Drosophila melanogaster: one gene and its partners. The protein of the gene in region 2 interacts with the protein of the main gene of each other region in a pairwise test. Each region holds a gene or a part of one and is shown on either strand. Other genes may lie near its edges.

The links. Proteins that work in one complex are often made in the same cells at the same time.
Region 1: the proteins of CG15482 (region 2) and HP1e interact in a two-hybrid assay, tested with the Drosophila melanogaster proteins (one large-scale study listed by BioGRID).
Region 3: the proteins of CG15482 (region 2) and CG15200 interact in a two-hybrid assay, tested with the Drosophila melanogaster proteins (one large-scale study listed by BioGRID).

Annotation. Positions count from the first base shown.
Region 1 is NT_033777.3:9,318,762-9,323,464, reverse strand, and holds HP1e (heterochromatin protein 1e), read right to left. Parts: upstream 1,696-4,703; 5' UTR 1,640-1,695; coding exon 1,115-1,639; 3' UTR 1,104-1,114; downstream 1-1,103.
Region 2 is NT_033779.5:13,209,829-13,214,519, forward strand, and holds CG15482 (uncharacterized protein), read right to left. Parts: upstream 1,987-4,691; 5' UTR 1,954-1,986; coding exon 1,024-1,953; 3' UTR 945-1,023; downstream 1-944. Other genes in the region: Pect (phosphoethanolamine cytidylyltransferase), read left to right, coding at 1-17, 83-400; kek4 (kekkon 4), read right to left, coding at 2,829-3,115, 3,181-4,691.
Region 3 is NC_004354.4:11,180,042-11,184,579, forward strand, and holds CG15200 (uncharacterized protein), read left to right. Parts: upstream 1-2,889; 5' UTR 2,890-3,014; coding exon 3,015-3,356; 3' UTR 3,357-3,435; downstream 3,436-4,538.

The DNA of each region.
Region 1 (4,703 bases), on a different chromosome or scaffold from region 2:
ATAAATCTACCCTCATTTCGCACACCTAATCTACATCTTGTGCCATGCCCGCGAGGGGTGAAGCGGGGTGGGAAAACTAAAAACAATGGCAGTCCATTGTTTTGAGGGTCGACCGAGGCACGTAAACAAATACGGTCATCATGCATGTATGTATGTATGCGTGTGTACATTTAACCCTTGACCTCATGCGAAACAAAAGAAAGTGGATAGGTTGGAATGTGGGCAATAGAATGTAGGCGCCAAATTAATTTTTTGTTTCCCCCCTCCTTTTTTTCAATTATTTCTGTGAAAATCGAAAAAAAACATTATTCTTTTTTAACTCACAAAATCTAAAAAAGCACAGCGTGAATAAATGCTTCACTAGTTTCATGGATCAGTTATCTAGCTTAATCTAAGAATATTTTGAATAGAAATAGTATTGAACACCAGTGCAAGCATAACGTCAAAACAAAAGTTGAATCAAGCGTGTGCCTATAAATTCAAATAGGTCTTAGTTTCTTTTACCGCCGACAAAAACTTACCAATATCGAAGAGCAATTGATTGGAGTTGAACTTGCTCGACCGGATATTGCAGTATCAATTCTCGGCAAAAGTGCAGAAGGCTTAAACGAAACCTTTTTGCTGCTATTGTGGCTACGTGCCCACTGGACGCAACTGGGTAGCACCAGAGCCCCCCCCCCCCCCCTCCAAAAAAAAGGACCCAAGTGACGAAAAACAAACACGAATATATAGGGCAAAAGTACGTCCGGCCACCACGCCCCATCAGCCAAAAACAGAGAATAGGTCTTACGACTTTTGGTACTTGCGATGAGACAAGGGAATGGCCACAAAAACGGAATGCAAATATTTTCGCTTCATTTTGGCCGTCGTACATTCCTGGCCCTTGTTTGCCGGCACTGTTGTTGCAATTAAGAGTGTTTACGCTGCCTGTCGGGCAAACACGCCCCAAAAATCACTTAAAACTTGGCATTTTGCCTTCATTATTGTTTGTAATGCTGTGCAAAGGGACACCTTTTATTATAAAAAGTAAAGCAATTTAACCTAACATATAAAATATAAGAAGCTCACACACATATTCATAAGTTTTTTTTTTTTGAAGATCCAGAATTGCAAGTCATGATATATAATTATTTAAATAATCGTGAAAATTGCAATGATTTTCATAGAATTTCAGAACCATCTGCGGTATTTCCACATATGCAATTCCACTTGGCACCACTTGTGGTTGATCGAGATGCCAAAACCTAATTAAAAACGATATTTCACCATTGTTTTTAGCGCCTTTTAGAATCTCTTGTGCAGTGAAACCATGATTAAAAGGACTATCTACTACTAGACATGGATCGATTTTCAGTCGTTTAGCTTTAGTTTCATATTGATTATTCAGCTCTTGACCCCTCTTCAGACTTTTTTGTGATTCAATCGAATCAATAAGTGAATGGCAATCGAGATCTGCTGCCGATTCCCAGGTATTATCTTCATCGCTATAATCCAGCCATTTGACCAAGTATTGTAATTGGCCCATATAATGCCTTCGATCCAAAATCCTCTCTACAATATACTCCTCAGTTTCTTCAAAATCCGTCGAATTTTCAGAGAAATTCGAAACGGTCTCGCCACCATCGGCATCTGAATCCATTTTATATTTTTAAATGTTCAAATAGTATTTTTTTGATGAGTTTTGACAGCAATGTCAGAGCGAAAAACATTTTCGTAACTTTTTATCTACAGTTGCTACTCAACAAAACGTAGTTTTCTGTGCAGACAAGTTTTCTTTTAAATGCTGGTCTACTTTAATATCTTCTTGCCAAAAGAAATAAAATTATGAAAAATATTGTAATGAATTCGTTTAATATCCTGAAGTAGAAAAGTTAGCCATATACTTAATGCCCACAGCTTAGGAAATGCGGCATTAATAATACCAAATTCAATAGCAGAAAGTGAATAAAATTGTTTGCCGGAAATCTATTAGAGATCCCTGGATGCTGGGTAAGTCCTTTCGAACAACAATAAGAATAAGATGAGCCGTCAAAAGGAAAAACTGCGGAAAATATCGTAAAAAATTATGCGTAAACTTGGCGAAAAGTTTGAAATACTCGTAGAACAAAGTTTTTTTCAGTTTGGTTTCGTGTATCACGTTGTTTAATGAACAAAATCTTTTGCCTTTCAAGGCAAACTTTGCAGGCCACAGAAATCGTTGATGAATCACTTGACAATAAATTGGGGAATATGCTTTAAAAATTTGAAAGGTGTAACAACTAGTTATTTTTCTTATTTATCCTTCATTGAAAAACATAAGTTTATGGCTTCCCTCGAAGTCAGTTCCACATTTTATGGCTTTCTTTTGTAGAATGAAGGCGCCACGTACCTGATATTAAATCGGCAAAGTTTTATTACCCGAAATTAAAAGCTCGATTATGCGCGATGACGTGGGACAGATTTGTGGGATTGGGTCGCTTGGTTTGAATACTTTTTAGAGGCCAGCATTTACATGCGAATGTGGCAATCAAACTGTGCAGTGAGTGCTACGTGGCCGGAATAAATCAGGCGACTTATGAAGTAGGATGGAGTTGGAGATTCACGGCAAATACATACATAAAATGTGCGCCTTCGTCAACTGCAGTACAGTGAAGATTCGAAAATCGAAATGGAGTGGAGGGGTGGTCAAGAAACGTGAGGTGCGGTTGTTTACTGAAGCCGTAAATGGGGGGCCGGGCAATTTCCGTGCGGCGAGTTGTGAAATCAGCGTCAAATCGGAAGCACAGGAAGTGGAGAGGTGAGCAGTCGGCGCAAAAGTCAATGTGACTGCCTATGCCATCACTTCCGGCAAATATTGATTGCAGGGGGTGGTGCCTAGAATGGCTAAAAGCCATTTCTGCCTGGGTAAATTCAATGTAATTGATAAGCGAACTCTGCCGGCAGATAGGCGGCAATGAGCATAGTGTCCTGGCACACAGATACCCCATATATGTATGAGCAAACATACTGGCACACAGACACACTAGCAAAAGACACTCAATTAAGAAAACAATGGCGGCTCGGTTTGTGCGGCAATTGAGTTTTTCCTTTTTGCCATCTGCGTTGGCCGTCTTTGTTTAGCTTTCGGCTTTTCCTCTTACCCCGTTCCCAATTTGCCAGTAAGACGCTTAGTCTTGCCACAAGCCCATCGCAAAATGCTCTCTCAGTATTCTCGTATTTGACTAGTACTGCGATATCTTTGCCTTTTAGCCAACTTGAGTTTCTTGGGTTTTTGGCCCCATTCTACTCCTTTATTCCTATCGCACGCTCATTAGCCGCTGTCTTCGAGCCAATTTTACTGTCACTTTTTGCCTCCAGTGCTGGCTGTAGTTCCTTTGTTCGGATTCCTCGCTTGACTTAACACACTTTGGGCTAATTTCCAGTTTTATTTGATCATCATTATAATTATTGTGTGCTTGTTTTTGACAGTATTACGGTCATAATTTTTTTTTTTTTTTTTTTTTTGAGACCAATATTTGATGTTTTTATTATTTGATCAACGCACTGTTACCCATGCGGCAACTTAATTTGATCTGCTTAAATTATTTTATTTTACAATGTGTCTTGGTTACTTAAGACTAACAGATTTTTAATCCTAAAAATGTTAGGGAGAATTATAATAGTTGATATAACATAGTAATTATTATTTATTTGATTATTCTAATGAATTTTAAAACTAAGACTTTCTAGGTCAAAACCAGGTTAGGGAGGTCATGAGGGTGGTGTCGCTTGAGTCTTCTTTTGACTCTAGTCCGAGGGTCAGCATTGACCACAGCTGCAGTTCCTAGCTTCCTTGCTAGGCTGTTGGGGTGTACACGGTCATAATGGAAAGCCAGATTCGTTCGTGCGCTCATAAGTAGGCAATGAATTTTGATTGTAACTTTTATCTCGTGCTGAATATGTTCATATATTCTTACTTATTATCGTTTTACCGTTTAAATGACTTATGCAAATAAATTCACCAATTGACAAGTTTTTCATGAAAACAATACTGTTGTCTATATATTCCCCCTTAAATGAATTCATGTCAAGCAATCAACACTTCTTTAATTAAAACCCATAGAAAGGAACTATCAGATTATCTCACTTAAAGTGTTAAGTTTTTAAGGTCTTTTCCCTACTGAGACCCATTAACACAGCAGCTCCACACACACACACGACGAACAGAAAGTTATCCAACGCCAGTAACAATAATTCATTTATTTCAGCCACACCAAATATACGTACATGAATATTCTGGCATTCCCAGTTGTGCTGGCCAACTATCTCTCTCGTTCTTTGCATTCAGTTTTTGAGGCATTGTAAGCGATTTAAAATCCAGTAGCACAAAATATGCCAACTGGCAGCTGGCACATGGGAGCGCTGTTGGGCCAAAAAGCGACCTCCATGGCCAAAAAGTGCTCTCGCATATAAATGATTTTGATAACGCGCACTGACATTTTGTGACTTCATTATTCTAAAATTCAAATTATTCCGACCGAACAATGGGGTTTTTGAGCAAATACAAACGGAAAAACACGAAAACTGGGTCAGACTGTGGCTGACAATAAGTTTTATTAGCTCCCCAGACGACTGAAAAAAAAAAAAACACAGGCAATGCGAACACATCTATGTGTATCTCGTTGTAGCCACAGGCGTGTTACGCATACGCCACGTATGCAAATCGTAAAATTTCCACTATCTTG
Region 2 (4,691 bases):
GTGTTTTGGCCTGCAAGGTAGGATTGCAATAGATTCTTTTTTTTAAATATTATCTCATTTTAAAACTTCTTTTTTCCCCCAGTTTGTCAATGAGGTAGTAATCGGAGCTCCCTACTGTGTCACTGAAGAGCTGCTTGAGCACTTCAAAATCGATGTTGTCTGTCATGGACGCACACCCATTGCGCTTGAGAATGGCAAGATCGATCCATATGCCGTTCCCAAGACGCGAGCCATCTTTGAGCTGATCGATTCCGGCAACGAGATGACCACGGAGCGCATCGTGGAGCGCATCATCTCGCACCGACTGGAATATGAGCGTCGCAATCAGGCCAAAGAAAAGAAGGAAATCGAAGCCTTTGAGGCACTTCAACGCCAAAAACAGACCCAAAAGGCCGGCTAGCCGGAACCAGATTCCGACCTCTCACACTAGACGGATGTTTTTTATTTTCTAGTTGCGTTCTTTTAGTTTGTTTTATTTAGTTTGTCTTGTTTAGTATGTCGTCCCCTGATGATGGCGCTTTAATTTTTTGTTGCGTAAAAAGCGAAGCGACGCTGCCTGAGGATTCAGCGCACCGCTCTCTCGATTTCTAGTACAATTTTAGAATATCTGCACATGCGCCTTAATGATATAAGGTTATACACATAATTATATATTTCTAACACATTAACGTAGAATATTTAAAATCTAAATTTTATGTATGTAAGCTCAAAATTTGTAAATTCCCTTTAAAGTACGATGTAAGTGTGAGGAACAACAAAATTGTACGAATAGCATGTTATCCAAACTGTTGCCGAATTGAAAAGCCTTGTACGACTTGTATGTATATATATTCAGCAACGGAAGTAGGATGCCTGGATCAGGAAGTAGCTGCTTTTATCAAATGTAATCTCTGATACTTTGTCCTAATTTATTAATGCATATAGTAAGTGCGAGTTCAAGTTTTATGTTTCCTTGTTTAATCTTAGACTTAAATACATGGCCAAAAATATTGCGAATTCCAAAAAAAAAAAAAACCGGAAGTTTTATATACTTGCCTCGCTAATCACTTTCAGTTCGACGGTTAGCGATTGCTGCCAAACATCTAAATCCATTAGTGGCCGGAGGTCATTCAAGCTGATGAGGATCACGTTGCTGTCGGTCTTGATGAACTCACTGCAGGATTGGTTCGACGACAGTGGCAGCATTGGACGAGCTTTTATCTGTCTGGTGTAGTAACGTGGCAGGTTGGCAGGTTGGACCAGCAGGCGCAGAGTGATGGCCACGCCGTGCAAAGGAGTAGCCACCCAGATGGCCAGGACTTCGTGTTTGACACGCTTCCTTTCCCACAGCACCGAGTGCATGGTGCGGCAGGCGAAGATCATAAGGGCGCTATGCTGCGAGAAGCGGCGGTACTCCACTGGCAGATGGGTGTTTCGGTGACATTTCAGAGGATTAAGGCCAGTGCGCCGATAGCCATAGACCCCCAGCAGGGTGTTGACATCTCTTTCCAGGCTACTAATATGACATGTTAGTGACACTCGCTTGCCCATTTCCAGTTCATAAAACGGAACTCCCATTCCCGGCAGATGGTCACTCAAATAGTGACCCAACAGAGCGCTGGGGTCAACCGAGCATAGGCATCCGTGACATGGGCATGCCACCAGGCGCAGTCGGCTCCACGGCGAATCGCTAGATGTGGTCGCAGTGCTCTTCCTGCTGCTGGACGGCTGCTCGGTCAGCGATTCGAAGTTCTGCAGTTTGAGGAGCAGCTGATCCTCGGGAGCTGGCGCGGCCACCGATGCCGGCAGTCTGTAGTTGGAAAAGTGTTTCGTGTACAGCAAATCTTGCATTTCCTGCAGGCGCTGCTTTCGCCTCTCCTGACGCTTTCGATTCCGGCTCAATCCATGGATGGGAGATTGATCTTTGCCGGAATCGGCGGCCTGGTTGGTACGCGAGGTAAATGGCGCAGTCATTGTGGTAGGTAATCAGGCTTGCCAAAACGACATAATTTTGATAAGAAACTAGACAGATAGACAGATACTAGCAACTTTTGAAAGTCTACTGTGTTGACAAGTAGATCCTTTTGATTTTATAATAGTTAAATATTTATTATTCAGTTGGGCCGAAATCCCGGCGGTACTGCAATACCGGGCCAACCCGCGACAGAGGTGGAGCAAGCCCCTAGCACTCCGTCTGATTCCAAAAATCAGTTTAACATTTGTTGTCCTCCAATGGAGGAACTATCAGATGTTAAGCTGATAAGAACAGATACTACACTTTGATCTTAGCCATAAGGCCGAGAAGCGATAACTTGAAACGGAAAACGAAAAGGGTCTCCATGAGCAAACGGCCAGAAGCAGTTGGGAATTGTAGCACACACAAGAATGAATTCGGGGTAGGTCAGGGATGATAGAACGTAGAGTACGGTAAAAGTGGGTCAGGTAAATAAAATCAAACGATTTACTAAAAATGCTTTTTAGAATTCGATGATAATATAAGATTAATTCAAGTAAGCTACACATTTTTCATTTAAAGGCATCACTTAAAACTTTATTATTACATTCCTTTCACTTAAAGTGCGTGGGTTAAAACACTTAGAACTGTGTAAATAAATATTTTTATATATTAGTAACGTTTTAAAATACATAATTTACTACCAGAAATAAGGCGAGGTATATTTCTTCTTGACTGGATCTCCTTTGTCCATCTATCTCCTGGAGGTCTTAGAGAGGTAGGGCTGGATATGAATTGAAATCCTGGCAAAGACTAAAATTTCAATGGCATGGGGTTTACGGTGGATTCGCAGCTGTGTATGGTGGGAAATGCCATATTATAAAACATTAATATATTATATTGAGATATCAACACCAGTAATGGGTTCTTTAGTACTGATATTCTTTATTCTAACACTGCCGTACTTCTCCTTTAGGTACTTTTGCACATTGGTATTGTACTTGCTTCGGGGATTAACTTCTGCTTTTTTCGCTGATGGACCGAAAGTTTCATTAATATTTTTTAAGGCAGTAGGTTGAGTGGAAGGCAAAAGGTCCGGTTGGAGTTCATCGATTTGTCCCTTCTTTCTTGAGCAGCCTGTTGATTGCAAGGAACTCTGCCGGGAATCCTTATCGAGCTCATCTAAGTAGGAGAAAAACAAGAATAAGTTAAAATTTGAGCACTAATTTTATTTGGCATTTTATTGCCTTTCTGTTTGAGCTCTTCCTTTTCCCGGTCACCAGCTATATTTGAATAGAGCTCCCGATTCCGCGATGAAATGGATTCCGCCTGATTGTCTAGATTTTCAGTATATGTGTTGCTGTTTAATCTCACGTCTTTATAATTTCTCGTGTGCATATACTCGCTGCCATTCGAATTGGATGTTTTAAATAAAGTGTAATTTTTATTTGATGGTTCATTGATAGCACTTAATGGATCCAGCACTATTTTACTTTCCCTTATAACTCCAGAACTTAGGGCGCTGATGGCGGTGGCTTCTTCACTGCCAGGTGACTGAACGGGCAAACTAGTGGGTTGCAAATAAGTGTGCTGGCCGGGATGGAACTGCTTGAATCTCTTAAATATTAGGCATGTTACCAACGAAAATAGAATCGACATGCTGAGAAAACCCATGGCTATAAGGCAGACTATTGCAAAGAAGTTGCTGTCGATGAGGGAAATCCTTTCCATATCCTTTTGCACCACCACACTTATGTGAACCGAATCCTTGCCACCGGGATTTTCCGCCAGACAGGTATAGACGCCCTCATCGCTCTTACGGGCATTAACTATCGTTAGACGTGACACAAAAACATCATGTCCGAATTTTCGAATCTTTGATTCATCCTCACGCAACAGTTCTATGTAGATGCGCTGCTTTTGCAGACTTTTCACCGGCTTGGAGCGGGATTCGTATACTTGATTGGTGTAATCCCAGGCAATAACCGTATTGGGAGATCCGTGGACGCGACATATAAGCGTTACGTTCTCCTTGGAAGTGTTGATGGAAGTACTGAGTGTTGGATACACAATCTTCGGCTTGCAGGCAAACGCCTCCGGCTGATCCTCGATCCACAGACGACCACGTAACTGCAAAGGATAATGGCAGGATGTGGGCGGTGTATACAGGTTCATGCCTATAACGAAGTCACGAAACATCTGAAGATCGCATGTGCAGTTCCAAGGATTCTCGACCAGCGATAATGCTGTGAGCTTAGTCAAGTCCTGGAAACTCTCCACTCTCAGTTTGGTCAGCTCATTGTTGTCCAGATAGATCTGCGAGAGAAGTGGTACTCCCACAAAGGCCTTGGCATCGATGCTAACCAAGCGATTGCGCTTAAGTTCGATCTTGTGCAGATACTTGAGATTACGAAAGACTCCATGGCGAAGTGCTTGCAACAGGTTGCCATTCAGGAATATCGCCCGCACTTTCGAAAGACAGTCGAACACATTGGGTAGCAGGTCGACAAGTAGATTATTGGACAAGTCGAGCTCTATTAGGATCTGCAGTTGGGTGAAACTTCGCTGATTCAGGTACTTCAGGGTGCCATTTCGGATGAGTAACTTTTGAAGATTTTGCAAGTGGGTCGTGAGGAATGCGTTCTCCTCCAGGTAGAATATATGATTGTGTGACAAATCCAGCACTTGAACCTCCGGACTGAGGTACTCTGGGACTCCACTCAGACTCAAATTGCGACAGTCGGCCGTCTTCTTGCCA
Region 3 (4,538 bases), on a different chromosome or scaffold from region 2:
TAACCAGAGTTTTTGTCATGTGACTTAATGTAGGATATTTAATATTTTGCAAGCAGTGCACATAAGAATTGTTACTCATACGCCTCGTTGGCCAGGAATTTTTACCAGTCAAATGCGAACGAAAGACAACATGAGGTGGCGATAAAGGGGGTTTGGGTGGGGGCTGAAAGGCAAGGCTAGCATAATAATAATAAGAAACAGAACCAACAACAGCAATTAAAATGGCGGCAACAACAAATAGGAATGCGATGAAAATAAAAACAGAAGTGAAAAGCCGTCATCCATTCTCTAAACTTACCTCTCTTGGGCCTTACACTGCACGAAATCGCAGGGCGGTATAATTTGTAGTCGTCAGTATTTTCAATTGAAAATAAATGTTTGAAAAGAGATTTGTTCCCTATTAATGCGGTAACTTTGAACTAATTTGTAATTTCATTGGATTCAAATACCAATTGGTAATGAAAACTGAGGCTTTTCCCAGTGATCCTGCCACCATTTCCCGCTTTTAATGACGCAGTGGCAAACACTCGGAAGGCGTCGACCCACTTGGCACAAAGGGGGCGTGGTGAGTGGTGATATGTATGGCTGCACACATGGGCATGTGTGTGTGTGTGTGTGTGTGTGTGTGTGTGTGTGTGGGTGCGTGAGTGTGAGCGCTGAGCAGCTGTTAAATATTTGCTCAGTTCTTTTTTCGTTCTCGCTGCAAGCATTTGAAATGTATTAATAATTGTCAAATGTTTAATTAGCCAAGCGAACACAAGCTCAACTCGTTCGTTCGTTCGTTCGCCAAGGAAGCCATTCCAGAGCCCCAAATGGAGACAGTTTTGTCACGACGAAATACACAGCAAGAAAAACGTAGGAACTTGGAACTTCCTAATTCATATGTGTTACATATTAAACGATTTTAAAATGCGGCATATTGAAGCTATGCACAAAAGAAATCTTTGTTTCAAACGTTTGAAAAGGTCTTAAATTATGGAAATTAATATTTCTCTCCGTTCGCTTCAAAATGTGGTAGGAATTTTAATTGGAGAATTGAAAAAAAAAGTAACTGGCGAGATATTTAATATTTTTCTGGGTGCACAAGGAGACAGCGGAACAGTTTACCGGCGCCAAAAATATGCGTAAAATGCTGGAAGAGCTTCAACGCAGCAGCAGTAGTATCAGCATTTGCCCCCCGTTTGCCACCCACTTAAGCCACCCGCTGCCACCGCACCATCCCCCTTACCCAGCCACTATTCTAGGCACCGCATTAGGAAAGCCAAAAGGAAATATCCTGCGCCTGGGACTTTTCCTCGTCGTCAGCGAAAATATTCGGTAGAGAAAATTTCCCAGAGTGCGATAAAGTCTGAACTTCTCGCATGCTAGAAATTTTGTCAACAATTTGGCTGGAGAAGTATTTAAATGGTATTCAGTGAAAATTTCCGACTATATTTCCAAATATATATTTAAATGACTTAGATAAATATGAACTAATTTTTGATCAAGGATCTATTTGGTTTAAGAACCCAAAATTTTCATTAAAAATGTAATTTATTCATTCATTTTATTCAAATAAATTCACTTAAGATTTTATCACCATACGAGTATAACCTTCTATCTGTCAGCCTTTATTAAAGTCAAATGAAGATATTTTCTATGAACGTGTTTTGGTTTGTGTCCATATTTATTTGCGGAGCTAATTAAATAGGATTAGTTGGGGCAAAGTAGATTAAATGGAAGAAAGTGTGCATGTTCATTAAATGGATTAAAGGTGTGCTTTCTGCTTTTATGAAGAATTTAATTTAGCTTTAAAAGTGTATTTCTTGTGTGTATATATACTTAGCAATAAGCATAAAGTTTCCAATTGTTGTTTAACTTTAAAATTATGGTTTCGCAGATATAATACAAATATCTATGTGTGTGTTTAAGTTTTATGGCATTTAAAGCGCATTAAAATGAAATTAAATATTCATTCGGAAATTTAACTGGCAAACACGAAAACGGAAGAGAGAAGCGATGATGATGATGATGATGATGATAAAAATAATAATTATAATAATATTGACAACAATGACAGCGCAACTGACACGATTTCACTTAAATGACAGATGCAAAAAGAACGAGAGAAAATTATGGCCGCGAAATAAGAGAAAAGGCAAATGTCCTTTTCGTGGAACTTTTTATGTCTACTAATTATTCATTAAAGAACAGATTTCGCAGCATTACGAAGACGCTGCCGAATAAAAGAGACAATCAGAAAATAGGATTAAAACTATCAGTATGCCATTATTTCTGCCACTTTAATCTGGTTTTAATGTTGAGCATTTGCCATGTAAAGTGCATAATAAAATTGTAGAAAATTTAATTATGCGCAATTAATGCGCATTAAATGCACGCAACAGCGGGCGGCGAATGATCCTGGGCGTCAAGTGGGCGGTCTCCTGTCCAGAAGGGGGCGTGTCCATTGATGTCGGCTAATTGACTGCCATCGAAGTGGGTGGCGTGGGGGCCTTTGGGGTGGCATAACCAAATGCTCGGTCAGCTGCTAATTAACATTCTCAGTGGGCGCCAGCGATTGATGGAGGCGGAAAAAAGGTCGTGGATTCCATGCCATCTAATCCGAAGTGCGAAGGCGGCCATGTCCTGTCCAAGGAGCGGCAGCCAAATGCTAGGAATCAACAGAAAGCGCGACCTTAACTGTCAATTAAAATCGCCCCCAAAAGTGGGCAATTCATTTTTCACAGCAAAAGAAGCGAAAAGAAAAGAAGAAAAACTCAATTCGAAAAAACTAATGTTGCTTAGTAGGCGTATTTGAAATTTACAACAATTTTTAGACATCAAGCTATCCATGAGAATCTTTTTTAGATCCTTCAAAGTCAATGCTGAGAAATTTTCAGTAACGTACAAGTCACCAAACCGAGCACATCAAAAATAAATTTTCGGCAGCATTTTTTAAAAGTTTACAAATTTCGAATTACCAAATTTCGAGATAAAATTCATCCACGATTTTTTTCGAAATAAAACATCCAGCCATGTCGAACGGTTTTTCCTTCTGGAACGGACAGCCAGTGAATGCGCCTATCTTTCCCCAAATGGGTGATGCCATAAACGTTGGTAGCCAGTGGTCGTCCAGCGTGGCACCAGGATCCTGTGGACCAAGAACTCGACCGATGCTGCAGAGCATGGGCGATTTCCAGCCGATGAGATGTCCTCCAGTGCCACCCAACTTCTTTGGCCAGCCGCACGCCATGGGAACTGGATTTGGAGATGATCAGGGACCCTGCGAACCCTGCATCGATAATGGAGAAGCCTTCTGCGCCTACAACGGCTTGGATATGAGCTGTGCCGGGAGAATTAAGGGCGATTTCTGGTAGTAAATCAGTTGTCCCATCCAAGACCTTCTTGTTCACAAAGTCGTTGGAATAAATTTTGCATTGTGGTCTCTGCTAGCTCAAACATACATACTTTTTTTATTTTTAAAAAGGGTTTGCGAAATATTGTCTTGTTTAAAATCGGGTTTTATACGAAACATTGCAAACAGAACATCTCGCAGGATATTAATGATAGAATAAATATCCAGGAATGGCCTTTCTGAATTTAGCTATGGCATACAAATCATTAAAAGATTTTATGTTTTGTGCTTCACTGCAATTTCGCACAGATGTCGTTTGACAAACGACTGCAGGCAAAATAATAGCGAACATAAATCTAAAAAAAAAAATAAGTAAATGGCTTACAAAAGTATCAATTCTGCGGAAGAGCCTTTGAACTCATCGCCTTTCTCACAATGCTTAAAGTAATCAAATTGGAGGAGAAAATATGTGTAAAAAGATTGTAAAGCTTCTTTTTTAACAATATCCAATCAATTTCGAATTCTATAATAAAACGAAGAAAGTCCTCAATTTGGCGTTCCAGAATTTCGCATAGTGAAATGCATTTAAGTGGAGGTCCTGCGATGTCCTCTAGCGGATGCATTATCCTTGCTCTGCTCGCCTCCATCCGTGGCTACAAATTTATGGCGAGCCCTCGGCTCCGTTTGATTGCGAATATTATCTTATTTTATGTCAACTCCTTGCCACTTCCCGCTCCTTTTGAAGGCCATCAAATGCAAATGTTTATGGCGGAACACGCCCCCTTTGCGAACCCACAGTGCCATGCATTTTGCATGCCGATGGCGTTGGCTTTTTATGGGTGTGTGCAGTATTTATGGCCCAACTATGGCACCTGCCCCACGCCTCCAAGTGCCACCATTCCACCATTCTTATTTTTAAAAAAATATATATGTAAGATTGTTTATTATTATTGTTTATTATTAATTTAATTATTAGTTTAATTCTAAATGCGGTAATTATATAAAGTATTCTTAGTTTGTGACCGAACGACTGCTGCTGAGAACTCGACTGACTGCAACGCTGACTTCCACTCCACTGCTGCCTTGCGATCGTTCCTTCGATGACTGATTGTCGATAACTTCGATTTCCGACAATCATGTTGCTGCTCAACAGCGCTGCCAACCGGGTTGTTGCCAGCCTTCAGCCTTACTCCATGTTACATTC